Macaca fascicularis: one gene and its partners. The protein of the gene in region 1 binds, or shares a complex with, the protein of each later gene. Links are inferred from orthologs where the notes say so. Each region holds a gene or a part of one and is shown in the gene's direction. Other genes may lie near its edges.

The links. Proteins that work in one complex are often made in the same cells at the same time.
Region 2: the proteins of GPSM2 (region 1) and FRMPD4 are in contact, whole or in part, in a crystal structure (PDB 4WND), measured with the Homo sapiens proteins. The link is inferred for Macaca fascicularis from reciprocal best matches to the Homo sapiens genes GPSM2 and FRMPD4. Residues at the interface, in NP_001307967.1 of Homo sapiens: Leu25, Ala28, Leu29, Glu32, Asp57, Lys59, Thr60, Ser62, Ala63, Ile64, Ser66, Gln67, Asn70, Phe73, Tyr74, His85, Asp88, Ala92, Gly100, Lys103, Asn107, Asn110, Thr111, Lys113, His128, Arg143, Tyr146, Asn147, Asn150, His153; in NP_055543.2 of Homo sapiens: Gln988, Leu989, Leu990, His991, Ser992, His994, Met995, Glu996, Met997, Glu998, Pro999, Glu1000, Thr1001, Met1002, Glu1003, Thr1004, Lys1005, Ser1006, Val1007, Thr1008, Asp1009, Tyr1010, Phe1011, Ser1012.
Region 3: the proteins of GPSM2 (region 1) and NUMA1 are in contact, whole or in part, in a crystal structure (PDB 6HC2), measured with the Homo sapiens proteins. The link is inferred for Macaca fascicularis from reciprocal best matches to the Homo sapiens genes GPSM2 and NUMA1. Residues at the interface, in NP_001307967.1 of Homo sapiens: Ala28, Leu29, Glu32, Cys35, Lys36, Phe47, Lys59, Thr60, Ser62, Ala63, Ile64, Ser66, Gln67, Asn70, Ala71, Phe73, Asn110, Lys113, Tyr146, His153, Lys157, Pro164, Gln165, Arg203, Gly206, Asn207, Asn210, Tyr213, Leu214, Arg228; in NP_006176.2 of Homo sapiens: Ser1901, Phe1902, Tyr1903, Met1904, Gly1905, Thr1906, Cys1907, Gln1908, Asp1909, Glu1910, Pro1911, Glu1912, Leu1914, Asp1916, Trp1917, Asn1918, Arg1919, Ile1920, Ala1921, Leu1923.

Annotation. Positions count from the first base shown.
Region 1 is NC_088375.1:125,550,941-125,558,408, reverse strand, and holds part of GPSM2 (G-protein-signaling modulator 2), read left to right. Parts: intron 1-617; coding exon 618-839; intron 840-1,233; coding exon 1,234-1,369; intron 1,370-1,703; coding exon 1,704-1,849; intron 1,850-2,388; coding exon 2,389-2,512; intron 2,513-2,625; coding exon 2,626-2,741; intron 2,742-5,539; coding exon 5,540-5,695; intron 5,696-7,161; coding exon 7,162-7,270; intron 7,271-7,468. UniProt on the Homo sapiens protein: Plays an important role in mitotic spindle pole organization via its interaction with NUMA1. Required for cortical dynein-dynactin complex recruitment during metaphase. Plays a role in metaphase spindle orientation.
Region 2 is NC_088395.1:12,490,135-12,497,602, forward strand, and holds part of FRMPD4 (FERM and PDZ domain-containing protein 4), read left to right. Parts: intron 1-604; coding exon 605-1,669; intron 1,670-2,042; coding exon 2,043-3,332; intron 3,333-4,955; coding exon of another isoform or gene 4,956-4,960; coding exon 4,961-6,285; 3' UTR 6,286-7,468. UniProt on the Homo sapiens protein: Positive regulator of dendritic spine morphogenesis and density. Required for the maintenance of excitatory synaptic transmission. Binds phosphatidylinositol 4,5-bisphosphate.
Region 3 is NC_088388.1:70,764,378-70,771,845, reverse strand, and holds part of NUMA1 (nuclear mitotic apparatus protein 1), read left to right. Parts: intron 1-124; coding exon 125-166; intron 167-1,697; coding exon 1,698-1,766; intron 1,767-3,149; coding exon 3,150-3,269; intron 3,270-3,351; coding exon 3,352-3,570; intron 3,571-3,691; coding exon 3,692-3,849; intron 3,850-5,139; coding exon 5,140-5,386; intron 5,387-6,290; coding exon 6,291-6,519; intron 6,520-7,181; coding exon 7,182-7,318; intron 7,319-7,468. UniProt on the Homo sapiens protein: Microtubule (MT)-binding protein that plays a role in the formation and maintenance of the spindle poles and the alignement and the segregation of chromosomes during mitotic cell division.

The DNA of each region.
Region 1 (7,468 bases):
TGTTCCTCTATTTTTCTGTGGTATACGTGGTCATGTGGTGGTAAGAAGAGGAAGGAGACTGAGTGTGTGTTGTGTGTGTATGAGAGAGAGCGAGGGATGGATGGATGGATGGATGGATGGATGGATGGATGGATGGATGGATGGTCAGAGGGGTTGATGAACAAGTGACTAGAGTACTTGGATAACTTGGATACCTGGGTAGAGAACAGTATTAATAATTGTAGGGCCTCACTTTCCCACATACTCATCTCCTCAGACTCTAAGGAAGTCCAGAGGTCTGTTACAACTCAGAATTGTTTGGGAAATACTGCTATAGGTTCTTTCACTAGTAACATGGATTGCTCTGGGCCAATTAAAATGAGCTCCACATACAGATATTTAGCTATCCTGACCTCTCTGAGCAGGCTCAGAGAAATTTGAGTAGGCAAATTACCTCTTGCTACAAATAACTGTTTCACTGTTTCATCAGGAATGTATATAGATTTCAGTTATAGAGGCAGCTGCCCTGAACAAGAGTAGCCATATAGTCTACATTTAAATTATATTACTGGAAGTTAAAAATACTGTGATGCAGCTGTAATGTTATGTTTAAATGTCTGTCCTGTATAATTTTGTAGAATGGAAGCTTCTTGCCTAGAGCTGGCCTTGGAAGGGGAACGTCTATGTAAATCAGGAGACTGCCGCGCTGGTGTGTCATTCTTTGAAGCTGCAGTTCAAGTTGGAACTGAAGACCTAAAAACACTTAGTGCTATTTACAGCCAGCTGGGCAATGCTTATTTCTATTTGCATGATTATGCCAAAGCATTAGAATATCACCATCATGATTTAACTCTTGCAAGGTAATTAAGCTTTTAAATATTCTTCCTTCTGAAATTAGCTATTACATTAAAAAATATTTCTATTCAATTAACAAAAACTAACTTAATACATTTAATGAGTTCTACTTCAGTAGCATCACTTTTTAAAACTAACCTTTAGGTTGAACACAGTTTAATTGAATGAATAGTAGTGAAATGACCCTAGAGTTTAATTAAATGGATGAAAACTAATTACATTTGAATCCAGAAATGTAAGTTTTAAATATTTATTTAAAGTAGGTTTCAAAGCCGATGGGTTTTTCTTACCTTAAGCATGTCAGTTTGTCCTCTTGGAAAACTGTACTCTGGCTGCTTTATATTTTAACACCATTTGTATTTCAATACCATTTTTTTTTTTGTTTTTTGCTTTTTTCAGGACTATTGGAGACCAGTTGGGGGAAGCGAAAGCTAGTGGTAATCTGGGAAACACCTTAAAAGTTCTTGGGAATTTTGATGAAGCCATAGTTTGTTGTCAGCGACACCTAGATATTTCCAGAGAGCTTAATGACAAGGTAATACTGCAGCATTAGATGGTAGGTCTAATATTTTCATTCAGATGGCTTTGCATTTTAATACTATTTAATTATTCTATAGTTTATTTAAAAATTAATACCAAAAAAGAAAACATTGATAGACTAATAGAAGTAAAAGAGAAAAAAAAATTTAATGGAGAAAAAGAAGGAAATAGAGGTCTTTCTTTTATAAGTAATTATTTGATTGGTTCTGTATGGAGAGCCAATATAAAAATTTCTTTCCCTTGTCCATAATACTAAGGATATTACAAATATATATGATAAATCTGACCTCTGTTTTCAAAATGTAAACTTTGCTGATGTCTTCATTTAGGTGGGAGAAGCAAGAGCACTTTACAATCTTGGGAATGTGTATCATGCCAAAGGGAAAAGTTTTGGTTACCCTGGTCCCCAGGATGATGTAGGAGAATTTCCAGAAGAAGTGAGAGATGCTCTGCAGGCAGCCGTGGATTTTTATGAGTGAGTAGGGGCTGATATGGGCAATCATGTAGGCCCATCTAAGCTGTGGATCTGCTATACGTTCTTTATTCAGTAGTAAAGTTTTTAAGTTTGGCAAAGGTTTTAAAGCTATGAACTAGCAAAATCATCAATTCAGTTGCTTAAATGTTATAGTGTTATTAGTAGTAATCTGCAGCTTTCATTTAAATTGCAGACCAGTGCCACTTAGTGGCAAAAACAAGAAATATCAATGGTTGGGCTGTTATTTAGAGTAATTTAGTCTTTTACCAATAGAATTTCATACAACTACTTAACTATAGGGGTTCCAAGATTAACTCTGTGCTTGACCCTGGGCAGAAACCTATCTGAATAGTTTAATAAAGTGTTCCCAGCTATTTCCTATAATTGCTCTTCATCATTGATGTCATCCTTAAAATGTTGCACATTATGGCTGTAAGCTTCCTTACATTTTTTTCTGATAAAAAGAATTAGCTATGTAAATCACATAAATAAAATTGTTTTGCAAACTTATTTTTTCGTCACTTTTTGCTATCCCTTAGGGAAAATCTATCATTAGTGACTGCTTTGGGTGACCGAGCAGCACAAGGACGTGCCTTTGGAAATCTTGGGAACACACATTACCTCCTTGGCAATTTCAGGGATGCAGTTATAGCTCATGAGCAGGTACAGTGGAAGGCCTTGGAGCCAGACCATTTCCTCCATCAAAGTTCTGAACAGTGATTAGATCATTCTTCCATTTTATTTTAGCTACATCTAATTAAAATTTTCTGTTTCAGCGTCTCCTGATTGCAAAAGAATTTGGAGATAAAGCGGCTGAAAGAAGAGCATATAGTAACCTTGGAAACGCATATATATTTCTTGGTGAATTTGAAACTGCCTCAGACTACTACAAGTTAGTCTAATATTTCTGTAGATAAATGTAAAATGAATAGTTATTCAATCCCATTAATTTATAGGCTTTAGGTTTAAAATCTGATTGCAGCAGGACTTTTGGCATCTAAGCCTCAATTTCCTTATCTGTAACAGAATATATCAATACATCATTTTGGGGAATACTGTGAAGAGTGAATGAAATAATATATTAAACACTTAGCACAGTGCCTGGTACACAGCGCTCAATAAATATTATTGTACCTAAGATTTAATAGCAGCAGTATGACCCCTTTATAGTACTGGTTTTTATCTTTAAAAGTAATTGTTTTTAAATGAAGTTTTCAGCCTTTAATATCTTTTAAACCTACTTAGCATATGTGGTGTATATTGTGTATATGCTTTATTTCACTCAATTATGGGTTAGAAGAGATGCCAAAAGAAAGCCTGGTAACAAAAATATTTATAGTCTCTATCAGTGATCACTGATTTTTTTGCTCTACCTTCCCACCTTCTTACTGAGCAGTTCTCCCTTTACCCTCTTTCTGCCCATATTTGACTGTGTCACTGTAAGCTGCGTCCCCATTCACTTACCTGAGGAGTTTGCAATCCCAGCTCCTTCTGTGGCAGGATGTCTCTTATCAGTAGATGTGAGACATAGATGATAGAAAGTTTAGACAGCTTCAAGTTGCCTGGTCTGTGCTTTCTACATTGAGTTTTCCCTAGTTAGTGGGGATTGAAGGCCCTTATAGATTTTGGGTAGAAGCCAGTTTGACTAAACTGAAGACACAGTGATTGATTTGTATTTTGTTAAAGAATCCAATATGAGACAGTTCTGGATAATTTTGTCATCTTCATAAAAAGGTAAAATTGTTTCAGGCCTATCTAAAAAAAATTGAATAGCATTCCACTTTGCTTTAAACATTAACTAATGGTTAATATTTGTTGGTTGGTTAGGTCAGTTAGATATGAAATAGCCTCCCAAATAAAACATATTACTATGTACTATATGAAGGAGTATATATTTTGATTTTAAATATAAAAGTTTCTTATGTTTTAAAGCCAAGGGATATAGAGAAGTCTTAATTATTAAATGGCATACCTGTGTTACATACTGAAAGGTTCTATTATAAAATGGATAGTGGCTATTTGACTAAAGAAGCATGAATATAAAGTAATGAAACTTACTTTTTTTCTCCCTATAAGCAGGCTGGAACTCAGAACTTTATATATATTCCAAGTTGTCGGTTAGAAATATTTTTAGAACTCTTCTTTAGATTTTTTTTTTTTTTTTTTTTTTTTTAAATACAGAGTTTTGAGTTTTGCTCTTGTTGCCCAGGCTGGAGTGCAATGGCACAATCTTGGTGCACTGAAACCTCTACCTCCTGGGTTCAAGCGATTCTCCTGCCTCAGCTTCCTGAGCAGCTGGAATTACAGGCGTCTGCCACCATACCCAGCTAATTTTTGTATTTTTAGTAGAGATGGGGTTTCACCATGTTGGCCAGGCTAGTCTTGAACTCCTGACCTCAAGTGATACGCCCACCTCGGCCTCCCAAAGTGCTGGGATTACAGGTGTGAACCACACCCAGCCCAGAATTGTTATCAGGGCCAAACAAGAAGGCTGACATAACATTGTAGATCCATATCCTTCCAGATACAAAGCAGTAGTTTGGTAAACCTATGTTAGTAATTGAATTTGGTTCCAGAAAGATTTCTGATCATTTACAAATCAACTGTACCATCAAAGAATAATGGTATGCCAGAAAGCATTATGTCACAGGATCTGAGAGCAATTCCAAAAGTCTTTCAAAAATATTTGAAAAGACAGGCAGCATTAGAATAATTAGGTAGCCTCCCAAGGCGACAGATTTGAATGTATCATCATTAAATATGTAATTTTAGATTTGTTTAAGAAAAAGCTATCACATTACCGTATAGTAATTTGTCATATAGTTATAAATGATATGAAGTAATTACACTATTTGGCAGAAATGGTGGGAGAGCCATTTAAATTACTGAATCCAAAAGCATCTGTAGGTTTAAGCACTGATAATAATAACATATTAACATTTATACAGCATCTACTATGCACAAGATGCTATTCTAAGCACTTTTTATCTATACATATTAATTTAATCCTCACAAAAATCCTTTGAGGTATTTCTCCCATTTTATATATGGAGAGACTGGTATACATACTTTGCCCTTAGCTTAGTAATTGGCAAAGTTGGGATTTAAACCCAGTCTAGCTCCAAGATCTATACTCTTAACTGCTATGCTAGCTTCTCACTGACAATACCACAGTTAGAATGGGTAATGTTTGGATGCAGCATTCAGTATTTTTCATGAGTTGATGACTAATGCCCTATACATAAGAATTTTACCTAAGTGGTGACTAATAGCCTACACATAAGAATTTTACCTAAATATTTTAAATTTTGACAATGCAAAGGTGACGGTACGATTGAAAACAGATGTCATGTGGAAAAAAGCCAATACTAAAGGGAAAGTTTTTTTTTAATGTTAAAGATAGTATGTTAACCTCTAGAAACTCTTGATTTCATGTTTCAATACTCCTTTACTTTGGTGAATTGTTAGGATTCTCAAATTTATTCTGTCTTGAATCTGCTTTCTGTGTTTCAAAAAGGCCTTTTCATTTTGTCTAAAAGTAATGAAGAAAGTATGGGATATGAATATTAGGCTCTCAGAGATTTAAAGGCAGCAGAAAGCAGCAGAGAGGAAAAATTAGAGTTTTATTTTGTGATCCTTAAAGCCCAAACTGAGAATGATCATTATGTAAGAATTAATTTCTTCTTGTAGGAAGACACTACTGTTGGCTCGACAGCTTAAAGACCGAGCTGTAGAAGCACAGTCTTGTTACAGTCTTGGAAATACATATACTTTGCTTCAAGACTATGAAAAGGCCATTGATTATCATCTGAAGCACTTAGCAATTGCTCAAGAGCTGAATGATAGGTATGTTTTACATCTTTTGACCGTAACTAAGGTAAAATATAGATGCATTATTGAATCCCTAGAGTTTTTCCTTTGTTTCTTTTCCTGTGTTTACCTTAAAATCCCTTTTAAGGAATTTTCTTTTTCAGTGATATCCTCTGTATATCGTTGTATGAAGGGCTAGTCTGTGATAGAGGATTAGTCTGTGATAGAGGACTGTCTGCAATAGAGAATTAGTCTGTGATAGAGGATTAGTCTGTGATAGAGGATTAGTCTGGTTCCATATGCCCTTGACCCAAGATCAGTGACTAGGTCCCAAACTCAGTTACCTCTTCAGAAGTCTTCCTGGAGAAACCCCATCTTTACAAAAAGTACAAAAATTAGCCAGGCGTGGTGGGGCACGCCTGTAATCCCAGCTACTTGGGAGGCTGAGGCAGGAGAATCGCTTGAACCCAGGAGGTGGAGGTTGCAGTGAGCCAAGATCACGCCACTGTACTCCAGCCTGGCGACAGAGTGAGACTGTATCTCAAAAAAAAAGTCTTCCTAACTACGTAAGTGTAATCCCGTATCTACTAAAAATGCAAAAATTAGCTGCGTGTGGGGAGGGGGCGTGCCTGTAATCCCAGCTACTCAGGAGGCTGAGGCAGGAAGATCACTTGAACCCAGGAGGTGGACGTTGCAGTGATCTGAGATCACACCACTGTACTCCAGCCTGGCAACAGAGCGAGACTGCATCTCAAAAAAAAAAAAAAAAAGTCTTCCTAACTATGTAAGTGTGGGAATTGTGGTAAACTTAAGAGATAATGCCCAGTGTGAAGGGGGCAACTGCTACCCAACTCCAAATAATTGTTGCCAGGCAGGAATGAAAATCCATTGTGTCCACATCTTCCTGTTTTTTAAAGAAAAGTTGGAAGTGCTGAGTTTTATATGAAATCTGCTTTTTAAATGTTAGTGGCTAATTCAGTTGTTTTGTTTTACTGTATTAAAAAAACAGTATTTGCCAGCATTTAGTCTGTGATATTTGCTTTGGAAAATCGATTTTTTTTTTACCTCAGTATGAAAGAGAACTTTTCGATGCAGTTGTTCAAAATGAAGTATGCTACCTCAAGAGGTAGTGAGTTCTCTCTCCCTGCTGCTCAGACACACACTGAATAATTACCTGGTAGGGCTGTTATAGAAGGAAAATGGGGTAGTGGACCAGAATACCTATCCTTGAGATTTATTACTTTATAATGTATTTTCATATTTTAAAAGAATGTCTTCTATGTTGTAATACTTGACTATGAGTTTAGTATCATGTGGGTATTATTTTTTTTAATCTGGGTATTCTAATATGTCTATAATATCATGATAGTATGTTCTTTATATGAAAGACCAAGTCAATCCAAACCTTTCTTTATATCTTTAGTTCCTGCTAGATAGCTTTTATTCTATACATAGGACCTCTTTTTCAAATAACTGCATGTTCGCTTTGAATAATATTTTAGAATTGGTGAAGGAAGAGCATGTTGGAGCTTAGGAAATGCATACACAGCACTAGGAAATCATGATCAAGCAATGCATTTTGCTGAAAAGCACTTGGAAATTTCAAGAGAGGTATGAAACAAAAAAATGCTGTCTGTGCTGTTGTAATTTACAAATTAGAGGTTGGGGGAGGGAACCCTGTTATTTCTCTAGATTGATCATGTGGCTGAATAATAAATTTGATTATATATCATTCTCTTGTCATAAGAACCCCACAAAGCATTTTGAGGTACAGATCACAGTTATGTTTGTATTGTCTTTGATGTAGGA
Region 2 (7,468 bases), on another chromosome or scaffold:
TGAATATTTTAACATCTACTAGGATATCAAAAGACTGAAGATAGAAGTTTTGTACTATCATTACAATATTTATTTTAATTTCCCATATGGCAAAACTCTGACAATCCTTGACTATCTCTGAACTCAATGAGGAAAACATTCAATATCTTCCTTCATGAAGTAGGGAATATTAGATCTCACCTTACAAAAAAAGAACAATTAATGTTCTGGAATAATGGCCTATTGAAATCTCACCTTTAAGGGTAAAAGGCATGTTGTATATTTACATTCGTAGATATGAATGAAGCCTTTTAATAATAGAACCAAGGGTCAGATGGAATTAAGCTATACTTCCCTACCCCCGGATGGTATTACATTTTATCACATAGCAATTACAATTTATGCAGTATCAATTTTGTTAAGGTTGGTTCTCCTAACCCAAGGAATTCTTACACCTGAAGCCTAAATCAACAAGTACTATATTTGGGTAGTTGAAAAACTGTATTTACACAAGTGATGCTACAAGCCATTAAGTTAAAAAACAGAGACGAGCCCCCCCCCACCCCTGCCCCACCCAAAACCAGACAGTACAGTAATGTGTCTTTGCATGATTCTTTCTCTTTAGGAACTGAAAACAAGGGGAAGCATAACCTCCTTGGCCCAGATTGGAACTGTATACCCCAAATGACCACCTTTATTGGCGAAGGGGAACAAGAAGCCCAGATAACATACATAGATTCAAAGCAGAAGACGGTGGAGATCACAGACAGCACCATATGTCCAAAAGAGCACCGGCACTTGTACATAGACAACACCTATAGTTCAGATGCACTTAACCAGCAGCTGAGCCAGCCCGGGGAGGCCCCCTGTGAGGCAGACTATAGAAGTCTCGCTCAGCAGTCCCTATTGACCCTCTCAGGACCAGAAACTCTGAAGAAAGCACAGGAATCTCCGAGAGGAGCTAAAGTGTCCTTTATTTTTGGAGACTTTGCCTTGGATGATGGTATTAGTCCCCCAACCCTCGGCTATGAAACACTACTAGATGAGAGTCCTGAAATGCTGGAGAAGCAGAGAAATCTCTACATCGGCAGTGCCAGTGACATGAAGGGCCTGGATCTCACTCCAGAGGCAGAGGGCATCCAGTTTGTGGAAAATTCTGTTTATGCAAACATAGGCGATGTGAAGAGCTTCCAGGCTGCAGAGGGGATCGAGGAGCCCCTCTTGCATGACATCTGTTATGCAGAAAACACTGATGACGCAGAGGATGAGGACGAGGTGAGCTGTGAGGAGGACCTCGTGGTGGGGGAGATGAACCAGCCGGCCATCCTCAACCTGTCTGGGTCAAGCGATGACATCATTGACCTCACATCCCTGCCCCCTCCAGAAGGTGATGACAATGAGGATGACTTCCTGTTGCGTTCCTTGAACATGGCCATTGCCGCACCCCCACCTGGCTTTAGAGACAGTTCAGATGAAGAGGACTCTCAGAGCCAGGCAGCTTCCTTCCCCGAGGACAAGGAGAAAGGCGGCAGCCTGCAAAATGATGAGATCCCCGTGTCCCTCATTGACGCTGTGCCCACCAGCGCCGAAGGCAAGTGTGAGAAGGGACTGGATAATGCCGTTGTCTCCACGCTGGGAGCTCTAGAGACTCTATCCGTGTCAGAAGAACAGCAGACCAGTGACAATTCAGGTTCTTTCACAATTGTTACATTCATTCACTGATAACCATATCATTCCATCCTTCCAAGCCATTTGCCCTTGGAGTTCTGTTACATGGTGTTCTCCATTTCACAAATGTCCCATTTCATAAACGTGCTGAAACTGCCATCATAGGTTTTTTTGTGTGTATGTGATTTCTTTTGTTGTTACTTTTTTAAAAACATAAGGCACATCTCCCCCACCCCCACCCCCATTTCTGGAAAAACTGCAATAAACTCAGAGTCCTTACTGAAAAGGGAAAAACTTGGTATTTTGTTTTAGTAATAACGGGTCCCATTTTCTTACATGTCTCCAAGTGCCTCTGATGCATCCATTAATCAGTTCTTGTTTTTTACGGCATGCAGGTGTAGCCATCTTGCGGGCTTATAGTCCTGAGTCTTCGTCAGACTCGGGCAATGAAACTAACTCTTCTGAAATGACTGAGAGTTCTGAACTGGCCACAGCACAAAAACAGTCAGAAAACCTCTCCCGCATGTTCTTGGCCACTCACGAAGGCTACCACCCCCTTGCAGAAGAGCAGACTGAGTTCCCGGCCTCCAAGACCCCCACTGGGGGCTTGCATCCAAAGTCCTCGCACACCCTGGCTGCTAGGCCAGCAACTGACCTCCCGCCCAAAGTTGTGCCTTCCAAGCAGTTACTTCACTCAGACCACATGGAGATGGAGCCTGAAACCATGGAGACTAAGTCAGTCACTGACTATTTCAGCAAACTGCACATGGGGTCGGTGGCATACTCCTGCACTAGCAAAAGGAAAAGCAAGCTGGCCGATGGTGAGGGGAAGGCACCCCCTAATGGGAACACAATAGGAAAAAAACAGCAGGGGACCAAAACGGCAGAGATGGAGGAGGACGCCAGTGGTAAATTTGGTACTGTGTCTTCACGGGACAGTCAACACCTGAGCACTTTTAACCTGGAGAGAACTGCCTTTCGCAAGGACAGCCAAAGATGGTATGTGGCCACTGAAAGCGGGATGGCTGAAAAAAGTGGATTAGAAGCAGCAACGGGGAAAACCTTTCCAAGAGCTTCTGGTCTTGGGGCAAGGGAGGCTGAAGGGAAGGAAGAAGGAGCTCCTGATGGAGAAACCAGTGATGGCTCAGGACTTGGTCAAGGGGACCACTTCTTAACTGACGTGACCTGTGCATCTTCAGCCAAAGACTTAGATAACCCAGAGGACGCTGACTCGTCCACCTGCGACCATCCTTCCAAGCTTCCTGAGGCTGATGAGAGTGTGGCCCACCTTTGTGACTACCACTTGGCCAAGCGGATGTCATCGCTGCAAAGCGAGGGCCATTTTTCTCTGCAGAGCTCCCAAGGCTCTTCAGTGGATGCAGGCTGTGGCACGGGCAGCAGCGGCAGTGCCTGCGCCACACCCGTGGAGTCGCCGCTCTGCCCCTCCCTAGGGAAGCACTTGATTCCTGACGCTTCTGGGAAAGGCGTGAATTACATTCCTTCAGAGGAGAGAGCCCCTGGGCTTCCCAACCACGGAGCCACCTTTAAGGAACTGCACCCACAGACAGAAGGGATGTGTCCACGAATGACAGTGCCTGCTCTGCACACAGCCATTAACACCGAACCCCTGTTTGGCACATTGAGAGATGGATGCCATCGGCTCCCCAAGATTAAGGAAACCACAGGTACAGCAATGATGGATTTAGCACTTTGTATGACATGCCAGGAGCATGTAAACCATATTTACAACAAACTTACAAACGTAAAGTCTGGAAGAAAAGTAAAAGGTAGAATTTAAAAGGCCACAGAACAGTAAAGTACCAATCATTGATCCCCTAATATTTAATAAATACTAAAGATTACAAAGGTGAAAATGGCATTTGCGCTTTATAATCTTGCTCTGTGTTTGCTTTCAGAATTTGATGGAGCAATATGTTTTTTTCCTAAATTCTAAATGCAGATGTTTAGCAATGCCCAGTGTGACTTTTAGTTATATGATAGTATTGCTTAGAGTCACATACCAGTTTGATTTTCTTCCCAAGACATCTGATTTCTAATTCTGCCATTTCATTATTGAGGGACAAAGAAGAATAAGAGAGCAGGGTATCAGGGAGATTGGAGGGGTTTGGAGAGATTATTTGCCTTTCAGCAATCTTACTGACTCCTCCCTACTCTGACATACCCCAGTGTCAGGAAGATTTTGAGGTTATGTCTGATGAGCTGCTTTATTTTCCCCAAAATAATAAAGTGTAAACACACATAGAAACAAGAACACATCCACCTTCTGTATCCCACCTTCACTACTCCACCACTCAATGGTATGCATTCCCCTCACTGATCCACTTGGCTGGTCATTATATGGCAAAAGCAGATACTCTCTCATATTTTCATATTTCAAATTATGTCATCAATAGTGTCTTTTTCATACAGGTCAATAGAAGTTAGTGAGATCTTATATTGGTCATTTTCTATTCCTGTTCTTTTAAGATTTTCTACTTTCTCAAAACCCACCACTGGCTTTACCTGCCTTGGAAAAGTTATCTGTGAATATTACCTAACTCATCACCCAACTGCATATTTACCTCTAAACTAACTAAGTCACACTGTTTAATCTTTCATGATTTATAAAGAACTTTCACCTGAGTTACCTCTTGCTTCTCACAAATATTCTGTGAGATGGGGATTATTTGCTTCACATGACAGCTTTTCTTAAACAAACAAAAAAAAAATGTTGAGCAACTGGCCCAAGGTCTCAACTTCAGACTTTGTACCAGGCAAACCTCATGCTGTCCTCTTAAAAAGATTCACTTATTTAATTTGCATTAATTAAATTAGGCCACTTCTTTAAAAGAAAGAAAGGAAAGAAAGAAAAAGAAAGAAAGTAAGGAAAAGAAAAGAAAGAAAGAAACTGATGCCAGGTTTAACTTAATTCCCTTGAAATGAAACTTAGTATCTTCAATATATTTGAATAATCTATACATAGTTATTTTCTGTGTCTAAGCTTGATAGATAGATATTGGTAGCAAGGCAATTCATGAAATCCCTGAAAATGTTTGGGATTTCTAGACAATTTCAAATGAATCAGCAGTTCCAGAAATAACAGATTCCAGTATTTTCTTGATATTCATTAAAATGGAAATTTGTTATGAGATATCAAGATGCAGCCTTTGGAAAGCAGGGTGACCTTAGCATACGGCAGCCCTTCCAGACTACATCCTTGAGAAATGACAGACATCATGTAGAGATGTAGTAAAAATGGCCTCCCAGGAGATGCTTAATGATTCTCTCTGTTTTTCTACTACCCCTAGTGTAGCTTTGACAGAGCCTGGGAAGGAGAGACGAGGAGGCATGCCTTCAGCTTGGTCTCAACATCCTGAAGCTGATCCCATCCTGCTACCATCAAACATTCACTCGGAATCAAAGGTGCCAATTCCAAATCAAGACCCTAATGATTTCTCCCAAGCAAATCAGGCATATGGAGAGGCTGTGAGCTGGCGGCCACCGGATCTGAGAGGGGGAAGCCTCAGGACACCCCCCAGCCAGAAGGCTCTGAGACATAGCAGCAGTGTCCTCTCCGGATCTGTCGATTTGGAGACCTTCCGAGAGAGAACCAAGGGTGCAGTCAGCTTAAAGTGTCCAGGCATCACAGAAGCACAGGAGGCCAGTTCTGAAAGGCGAGCAGAACTCCCCCTGGGGAGGAAGCTCACCAAAAGTTTTTCCCAAAGCTCGATGCACTTGAGCTCCGAGGGGAGGTTTCACAAAAGGTCCCCAGTGGCTCATAAAGACTCAAAGCTGTATAGGACATTACCCTTGCGGAAGCTGGAGGGCAGCAATTGGAGATGCCGGGGACCCTTCAGCTATTGCTTCCTGAACCGAGGGCAGGATGAAGATGGTGAGGAAGAGGAGGAGAGAGGAGAGGCCACCGTCCAGGTCGCTTGCCTCTATAGACCACAGATGACTCAAGCCACGCCAGAACCAAGCAGCCCATGTCTGGCTGTGGCAATTCAGAAGCAAGGAGGGGAGCTATCCAGAGGGTCAGTGCTGAAGGTCTGGGCAGAAGACCTGCGAGGCCCAGATGACTTGGACTTCAGCAACCTGGCTTTTGATGCCCGGATTGCAAGAATAAATGCCCTAAAGGAGAGCACATATGCAATGCCTGATGGGTTCCTTGCAGCCCAAAATGATGCCAATGAGCTGCTCTGTCTCGTCAGGGCAACAAAGGAGAAGAAAGAGGAGTCACGCCCTGAAGCATACGACCTTACACTTTCTCAGTACAAGCAACTGTTGTCCATTGAGTCCAGACAGTTGGGAAGTGCCTGTAGGAAAATGGCGATGGCTGAGAAAAGCCCGGAGGAGATGCTCCTAGCTATGACTTCCAGCTTTCAAGTGCTCTGTTGCCTAACAGAAGCTTGCATGCGATTAGTTAAAGTCGTGAACTCAGAAACACAGCGGCAGGAAATTGTAGGGAAGATCGATGAAGTGGTCATAAATTACATTTGTCTACTGAAAGCTGCCGAAGCAGCCACTGGAAAGAACCCTGGGGACCCTAATGTTGGATTCTCGGTGCGACACTCAACCACCATGGCCGCTCTCGTAAGCACACTGACACGTTCTCTCAAGAGGCTTTTAAACAAATAAATATGGAAGTCACGTCATAATCTACCTTTACGAAGCCATACATGAACTTTTATTTACTTTGTGTGTATGATGAACAGATGTCTCCTTTCTTCTCTCTGTATATTTTGTTATTTTATATAAAATAGGAGATAAAAGTCACATTGATGAAATGTTGAAATGTACTAATCAGATGTATTCTGTTTATATTATACATATATATACACGTAAAAGAAATATCCAAGAAAGTGATGACATTTGGCTATTTTTCATATAGTTAAAACTCCAGGTATATGATGTGAAATTTTAAATTCTACCATGTTAGAGCAAAACAATGAATCCTATCCCCTTTCTTTCCAAGTAGATACTTGGAGATCACATCATTCATATTTAGAAGTAAAACAAAAAAACAAAAAAAGAGAGAGAAAAGAAAAGAAATCACAATGTATATAAAACAGTACTAATGTTTTAAAATTATGATTTTTAAGCATTGGAAATAGCAAAAAGACATTTAAAATTCAAGAAGCTATTATGAATTACTAGAGACTATATCTGTAATAAATTAATTTTTTGCTCATAGTATTTGGTTACTGGATGCTTTCTTCCAAGAATCCCACATATTTAATTTGGGTTTTTGCTATTTGGGCTACAAATTGGTGGGGGTGGATTCTACTGTGTCAGCACAAATGCTCTTCACAGTGTTTCTAGCATTTAAAAAACTTCCCAGGGAGAAGAACAGAGGGGATGATGGGCAGTTTCCTAGGTAATACCTAGAGTTATAGAATATCTCATTACATAAAATGTATGGAATTAATAATGCCAAAATTAATTATTTGATGGAAAGATCTGCTTTGACTAAATGTCAAAAATCTACAAACCAAAGACATTATCTTCCCCTCACCGCAACTCAACTATGAAACTTAAAATTCCCTTTAGAATGATGGGACATTTAGTAAAGTATTTGCAAACTTACAAAAGGGAACATTTAATGATCATCAAAATTAAGTATTGATTCAGTGATGTAGACCAGACCACACACCAGCACCTGTGAGTCTCATCTCAGATCACAGCTCTCAACATAGGGCTTCATGCATCACCGCCTCTACAGAGGCTAAGGCTGCCAATCAAATTTGGAATTACAGTGTAGTACTGGGACAAAATCTCAAATCTTGGGTGTTCCAGAAAATCAGGGAGAAATGGCTACTGT
Region 3 (7,468 bases), on another chromosome or scaffold:
CTTACTGTCAATCTAGCGCCTTAGGGGAAAGTATCAGAGCCTCAGTGAGGTCAGCCTGGCAGCAGGGCTGGTGCCTCTTTGGCCTCATCTCACTCTGTCTCCATTGCTCCTCCCCCATGTACAGGTGGAGCAGCTAGAGGTATTTCAGAGAGAGCAAACTAAACAGGTAATGCCTGGGGTCCTCGCTAAATGCTGGCTGCTTAAACGGTGACCAGTTTCGGTGCATGAGCCCGGCTGCAGCTTGCCTCCGCCAGCTCCTGTTGTGAACTGTTTGTGAAGGGGGCAGGGTCAAGCCATGGAATCCAGGCCCAGGCTTCCCAGGAGTGCGGTGTGCTGGGCTCTCTCGGGCTTCATCCCACCCATCCCAGGTCGGCCCCTCCACCCTTCTGCACCTTCTCTCATCTGCCTGTCAGGGACAAGGGGTAGCACTGGCTTCATCTTTCCCACACCTGAACCAACGACAGACACAATCTTTGGGATTCTAAAACTTCCCAAGTACTGTGTCTAGTTAAGGATACCCAACTAAGAGGAACAGCAGAATTACCTATGGGCCTCGTTTAACATTGTGTCCCTTTTTACCAGAGTACAGCTTTATGGAAGCCTTGAAGGTGATATGCGAGGCAGCCCCCACAGGTTAGGGAGAACTGTGGGCTCAGGACACTTGCCCATCACTTTCTGGGGCTCTAACCCCAAGCACAGCATAGAGATGTCTGTAGCAGGAAGGCTGAGGGTGAAGTAGCAGGAGGGGTCTATACCAGATGGGGGCAGGGGAGTGGGGGGTCACATGGTCTGGCTGCCTCTTTCTCACGGGAATCTCTGTGTTGCCTGAGACATCGAGGCTATAGAGCTAGTGTTAGAGCACCCTTTCCCCGTCACTCTCCTACCCAGCCACCCCAGGACTGCCGAAAAATTGGGCCCTCCTCTTCCTCTAAGGAGCCTGTGATAATGGGGGAGAATCAAAGTGAATAGCAAACAGTTAGCAATGGAGCCCTTGCCTCTCCCCTGTGCTGCCTGGTCATGCTTGAACTCCCAGAATACTTGAAGCAGCCAGGGGTGCATGGGGCTGTTATGTTCTTTCTTTTCCCCTACTCCCTGTGCTCCTCTTTGTGGGAGTTGGGTGGGCTTTGGAGTACATGTGCTACACCTGCTCTTGTCTTCCAGCAATCTGTTCCCCCAATGCTAACCACAGCAGCCATGCTGCTAGCACCAGCCCTAACAGCCTGTGGATGTTGGGAAGAGGTCTGAGCATCTGTGGGCTTGGGCTTTGGCAGTTTCTGGGAGGGAGGCATGGCAATTCATTGAGTATGTCGGCTAGAATTACAGACTAGGTCCTGGGAAGGTTGCGGCTGCAGAGTGGTGGCAGCAGCAGGGTGGTGGTGAAGTGTCAGCTCTGCAGAGTCAATTCCGATTCTGGAGGTGACAGGGGTTGGGCAGGCCTCTTTCTCTGCAGGCTCAGGGTAGAGGCAAGTATGGACAGGTGGCCCTGGCAACATTTATGTGTTAGATTGCCTCACTCAGGCCCTGCCAAGCAGCCTGGGCAGCAGGCTGTTCCCTAATTGGAGGCCAGAGAAAGGGCCTGAGTTTATTCTAGGAATACTGGGGATCCTGGTCTGGGCCACCCCATGATGGGTAGACATCTGGGATGAACATCCAGGGGAAGTCCTCCTGAGTCTTCTGTCCTCCTCTTCCCTCCCCAGGTGGAAGAACTGAGGAAGAAACTGGCTGACTCTGACCAAGCCAGCAAAGTGCAGCAGCAGAAGCTGAAGGTGGGGCAGCTGGGGGAACGGGTCTGGCCTCTGGACAGGGGAGGAAAGCTGTTCTCTAAGCTCTCGGGCCGTGGGGGTGTGGGGGCAGAGGAGGGGCACCCTGTGTTCCAGGCAGCCCTCCTAGGAAGCCTGTGGCTTAGAAGCCCCTGCGTGTGTCTTCTGGGAGCTCTCAAGAGACAACCAGGGTGGTTCCCATCTCTCAACTGTCTCCACTACAGCAGCTACTAGTCATGTGTGGTTATTGAAATTTATTAAAGTAAATCCAGTTCTTCAATCACACTAGCTACATTGTGTCCCTGCTCAGTAGCTACATGTGGTTAGTGGCTGCTGCATTGGACAGCACAGATACAGAACTTTCCACCGTTGCATAAAGTTCTGTTGAACCATGTAAGTCCAGATAGTCTGGGCAGGGAAAGAACGAGTGTCACCAGTGTTGAATATTACAATGCAGTTTAATAACATTCTTAATGATTCCAACTGTGTCACCTTCTTTGGTTTAATACTTGCTTTCTGCAGTTCTAGGCTGCACAGCCTTTAGTCAGGGGCAAAGGAATTGGACATCAGTGGTATTGGGACTCACTAAAGCCCTGGTGGGTCCTAGGAGTTGGTGGGAGCTCAGAGCTTCATTTCATACCATGGTGCCACAGCATGTCTTGATTGCAATAAACAAATGTTTATTCTGCTCCTTGTGGGGCCTGTCCTGTGTTAGGAGAGGCAAAGGTGGGATGTTTCTGTACAGTATCTACCGCAGAGTACTTGCTGGCCTTGCAGATGGACAGAGAATCAGGCCCTGTTCTTAAGGAGTTATAGTCTGGACAGGAGGCAGTGTGGGCATCATAAATAAGCCCCCACGGGCTTTTGGAGTTTAGTGGACCAAGTCTTACTCTGCCATTTAGTCATTGTTGCTATGGTCAATTTGCTTAAATCTTTGAACTCAGTTTCCTCCTCTGAAAAGGGGATGAAGTGACTTCTCAGAGTGGCTTTGAGGAGAAACAAGTTCCCCTGTCCTCAGAGAGCTCACATGCCAAGTGCCTCACTCCAGGCTCCGCACCTGGGTGTTCCTCGAGGATCGGTTCCCTTCCTCCTAGGGGAGATTGTGTGTGCATGCAAAGAGGGTGAGACAGTTTGTGTCCTATCTCAAAGAAGGCAAAGATAGGGCAGGAGCTGGTCAGGGAAAGGCCACTATGGATGTGGACTGAAGGGCATGTGGACTTCAGGTTCAGTAGGCTGTAGTCGGGTGGAGTGTATCTGGGGTGGTGTGGTTTTCTTCCTCTTCCTAAGTGCAGGAGTCTGAAGCACCTCTTGAGCCCCAGTGGCTGATGCAGATGAGTGGACTTGGGTAGAGGGGCCAGACCAGCTTTCCTGAGTGGACTTTCTTCTCAGGCTGTCCAGGCTCAGGGCGGTGAGAGCCAGCAGGAGGCCCAGCGCCTCCAGGCCCGGCTGAATGAACTGCAAGCCCAGTTGAGCCAGAAGGAGCAGGCAGCTGAGCACTATAAGCTGCAGGTAAGGAGCCCAGCCCCAGCCCATGCTACCTTCTTCCTGCCCTCCAGCCTCTGCCCCACCCACCCATCCTCTCTGCCCACAGATGGAGAAAGCCAAAACTCATTATGATGCCAAGAAGCAGCAGAACCAAGAGCTGCAGGAGCAGCTGCAGAGCCTGGAGCACCTGCAGAAGGAAAACAAAGAGCTGCGAGCTGAAGCCGAACGGCTGGGCCATGAGCTACAGCAGGCTGGGCTGAAGACCAAGGAGGCTGAACAGACATGCCGCCACCTTACTGCCCAGGTGCGCAGCCTGGAGGCACAGGTAAGAATTTGGCTGGCAGACTCACCTCACCCCTATCCCACTGGACCCCTGTGCCCTCTCCTCCTAGGCCACTGATGCCTTAGGTTTTTCTTCACTCTCCCCCTGGCCCTCTCCTTCTCAGGTTGCCCACGCAGACCAGCAGCTTCGAGACCTGGGCAAATTCCAGGTGGCAACTGATGCTTTAAAGAGCCGTGAGCCCCAGGCTAAGCCCCAGCTGGACTTGAGTATTGACAGCCTGGATCTGAGCTGCGAGGAGGGGACCCCACTCAGTATCACTAGGTCAGGAGGCACTCTTCCTCCCTATGTCTGTTGTTTATGGAGTACCCGCTGTTTATCAGGCTGTATCCTGGTGAGATAAATAAGATGTGATCCAAATTTATTCTTAGAGAAGAATAAAGAAAAACAGGTATTATACCAGATGTCTGTTTAGGGCACAGTTGGAATAAAAAGCAAGCGGTCAAGAAAGGCTTCATGGAAGCTATCGCTCCTGCTGAGTCTTGAAAGCATCCATAGGTGTGTGTGCCAGGTTGACAGAGAAGAGCAGTGTGAACAGAGGCTGTGAAAGAGCCTGACTAGGCTGAGATGCAAGGCCAGGAAGGCCCAAGATCCTAGAGGGCCATCTGGACTCCCCGTTGGAGACCGGCTATTAAGACTTGATCCTAAAGGCATTGAGGAAACCTTGGTGGCTATAATTGAAAGGTTTAAGGGAAAAAAAAAAAAGGAACCTTGGAAGAATTTGAAACTGAAGAGTACATGGTTAATTTCCATCTTAAAAAGATGATTCTAATAGCCAATATAGAAGTTAAGACTGGAAATACATATTGTTTTTATTAAACACTTACATTGTACTTATTTTGTGCTAGACATAAAGCACTCATAACAATTATACCTGATTTATCCCCCAACAACCCTCTGAGGTAGGTTTATTCTGTCTCCTTTAACAGATGAATCTGGGGCATAGAGGGGTAGTCATTTGCCCAAGGTCCCCCAGTGGTAGAGCTGGGGTTTGACCCTGTGCAGCCTGGCCTGAGTCCTTGCTTGTCACCACTCATCTGCCTCTGTGAGTGCCATGATGAGTCTAGGTGAGAGGAGATGAGACAAACCAGGAAAAGGACATAAGCATGGAGAGGGTATGGTTAGGAGAGCTGTTGAGGAAGCTTGGTGATTGGGCTTCCCAAGCAGGACAACATAGAATTATGCCCATGTTCATGGTTTGGGGGCCTGAGTGGCAGGTGCTCGTATTCACTGAAATGGGAGATGAAGGAGGAAGAACAGAGAAGTGGGCTTAGATTGGGACGTGTTTGCTGTGGAGCAGCCGTGGGCATCTGGTGAGGATGGGACATCTGGGTCTGGGCATTGCCACTATGAGGAGGTATTAGGAGAAGCCAGGGGAGTGGACTGAAGGGAAGGCCCAGGTCAAGGGCTTTCCTTGGTACCTCTGAAAATTCAGAGACATGGGTTGCTTGACCTCATCTGCTTATAGTATGGAAAATGGTCACTTTGGAAAAGGGCTGGACAAAATGCCTTCTAGCCCAAAAGACTGTACCTCAGCAGGTTTCCTTTCCATAGCAAGCTGCCTCGTACCCAGCCAGACGGCACCAGCGTCCCTGGAGAACCAGCCTCACCTATCTCCCAGCGCCTGCCCCCCAAGGTAGAATCCCTGGAGAGTCTCTACTTCACTCCCATCCCTGCTCGGAGTCAGGCCCCCCTGGAGAGCAGCCTGGACTCCCTGGGAGATGTCTTCCTGGACTCAGGTCGTAAGACCCGCTCTGCTCGTCGGCGCACCACACAGATCATCAACATCACCATGACCAAGGTCAGGCTGTCGGGACAGGGGCTGCAGGGCAGCAATTCCCACTTCCTCTCAAGGGCGTCTTTGCATTGGGCACTCAGGAGCAGGCAGGGATGAGCAGCCAGTCCATGTTACAGTGGGAAAGCTGAGGTCTTAAAAAGGGCAGTGACTTGGTTAGGGGCACTTCTGAAGAAAAGGGCAGGGCTGGGATTAGATCCCTGCCTCCTGACTAAGGCTAGTGTTCTCTCCATGTGTAGCACTGAGCCTGTGCAGGGTGAAGGGAGAGAACATGGTGAAGCTGCAGCCCATCCAGTGCCTCCCAGCATGCCCCATGCAGCTGAGAGGCATTGTTGCTGCCCAGTGGACTGCCTGCCAGGCTGTGGGCCCTTGCCTTTGTTTCCACATCTTGAAGGGGAGGTTTGGGAGGAGGGGAGAGGGGCCCCGGTACAGCAGGGAGGACCTGTGTGTGCAGGGTGTCCCCTGCTACCAAGAAGTTGGGGAAGTTGTAGAAAATGGTAAGGGCCCTGGAAGCTTGGACTGAGGGACAGCAGAGGCTGTGGGATGAGCCTGACTAGTCAGGAGACAGCTCTGATACTTCCTAGCAGTGTGATTTGGGGCTAGTCACTTCATTTCTTTGCACTTCACCTCTAAAATGGGCCAATAAACACTCTGCATTCCCTCCCTCAAAGCATTATGAATAGACTCCATGAAAAAAATGCATAGAAAAGAGTCTTGACAACATCAGCACCACCTTGTGAGGGCTTCTGTCAACAAGGCCCATTTCTTGCAGACACACGTTAAGGGCCTTTGCAAAGCTGTTGGGAATGCATGGATGTGCCGTGGGATCTGAGGGCTTTGGGAGGGAATGGGAGGCTTCTGTATAGTGCCAGGGCCCACCCCATTGCAACAGATTCACTCTCTCTTCCAGAAGCTAGATGTGGAAGAGCCAGACAGCGCCAACTCATCCTTCTATAGCACGCGGTCTGCTCCGGCTTCCCAGGCTAGCCTGCGAGCCACCTCCTCTACTCAGTCTCTAGCTCGCCTGAGTTCTCCCGATTATGGCAACTCAGCCCTGCTCAGCTTGCCCGGCTACCGCCCCACCACTCGCAGTTCTGCTCGTCGCTCCCAGGCCGGGGTGTCCAGTGGGGCCCCTCCAGGTGAGGGGACTACAGGGACTTACTATACCCCAAAATTAGAATGGAAGGTGGATCGTGGCACAGGGAAAAGAGGAAAGCTTTTTAAAAATCCAAGGCTGGCCTCCTTGCTACCGTCCACCTCCACCTGCCCCTCCTTCCTGCAGCCTCAGGGCCTTCCTTACCTGCCCATCTAGGGGCTGGCTGTGTTAGGGGCACTCTTAGCCAGAGTTAAGGGCCTGGGATTCCCAGCACAATTGTGACACTTAGCCGTGGGGAGTCCTCCATGCCCTTAGGTGGTGATGGGCTGCTGGAAAGGCCAGGCTGGCCAGACTCTTCTTGGAAGCTCTTGTCCTTTGGGCACCAGAGAGCCCCTGGGAATCAATTCCTGGTCCTTAATTCGTTCCTCTGGGTGTTGGGCACCAAGCCTTGGCTGGTGAATAAGATGTAGTAGCAGCCTCTGCATGTGACCTCTTCTGCCCTCTCCAAGGAGAAGGCAGTGAGCAAGCCCCTAGGATAGAAATAGTCTGCGTGCCATACTCCTGCACCTGCGGCACTGAATCAGATTGGTGTGCTGGGCTTCAAGTTTATGGGGTAGGTGGCAGCAAAGGCTGGCAAGATGCCAGGGCCAGCAGGCAACCTGCTGACTCCGGGCTCATTTGTTCCCACCTCCCTGCCATCCACAGGAAGGAACAGCTTCTACATGGGCACTTGCCAGGATGAGCCTGAGCAGCTGGATGACTGGAACCGCATTGCAGAGCTGCAGCAGCGCAATCGAGTGTGCCCCCCACACCTGAAGACCTGCTATCCCCTGGAGTCCAGGGTGAGCCCTGGGGTCACTGTGCAGGGCCTCCCATCCCTGTCCTCCCTTAGAATCCCACCTGCTGATCTAGCCTGAGCACTAGAGCCCTGGATCACTGACTGGCCAAGGACGGGGAGGGTGACCTTCTCATGCTTCCAGGCAGAACAGACA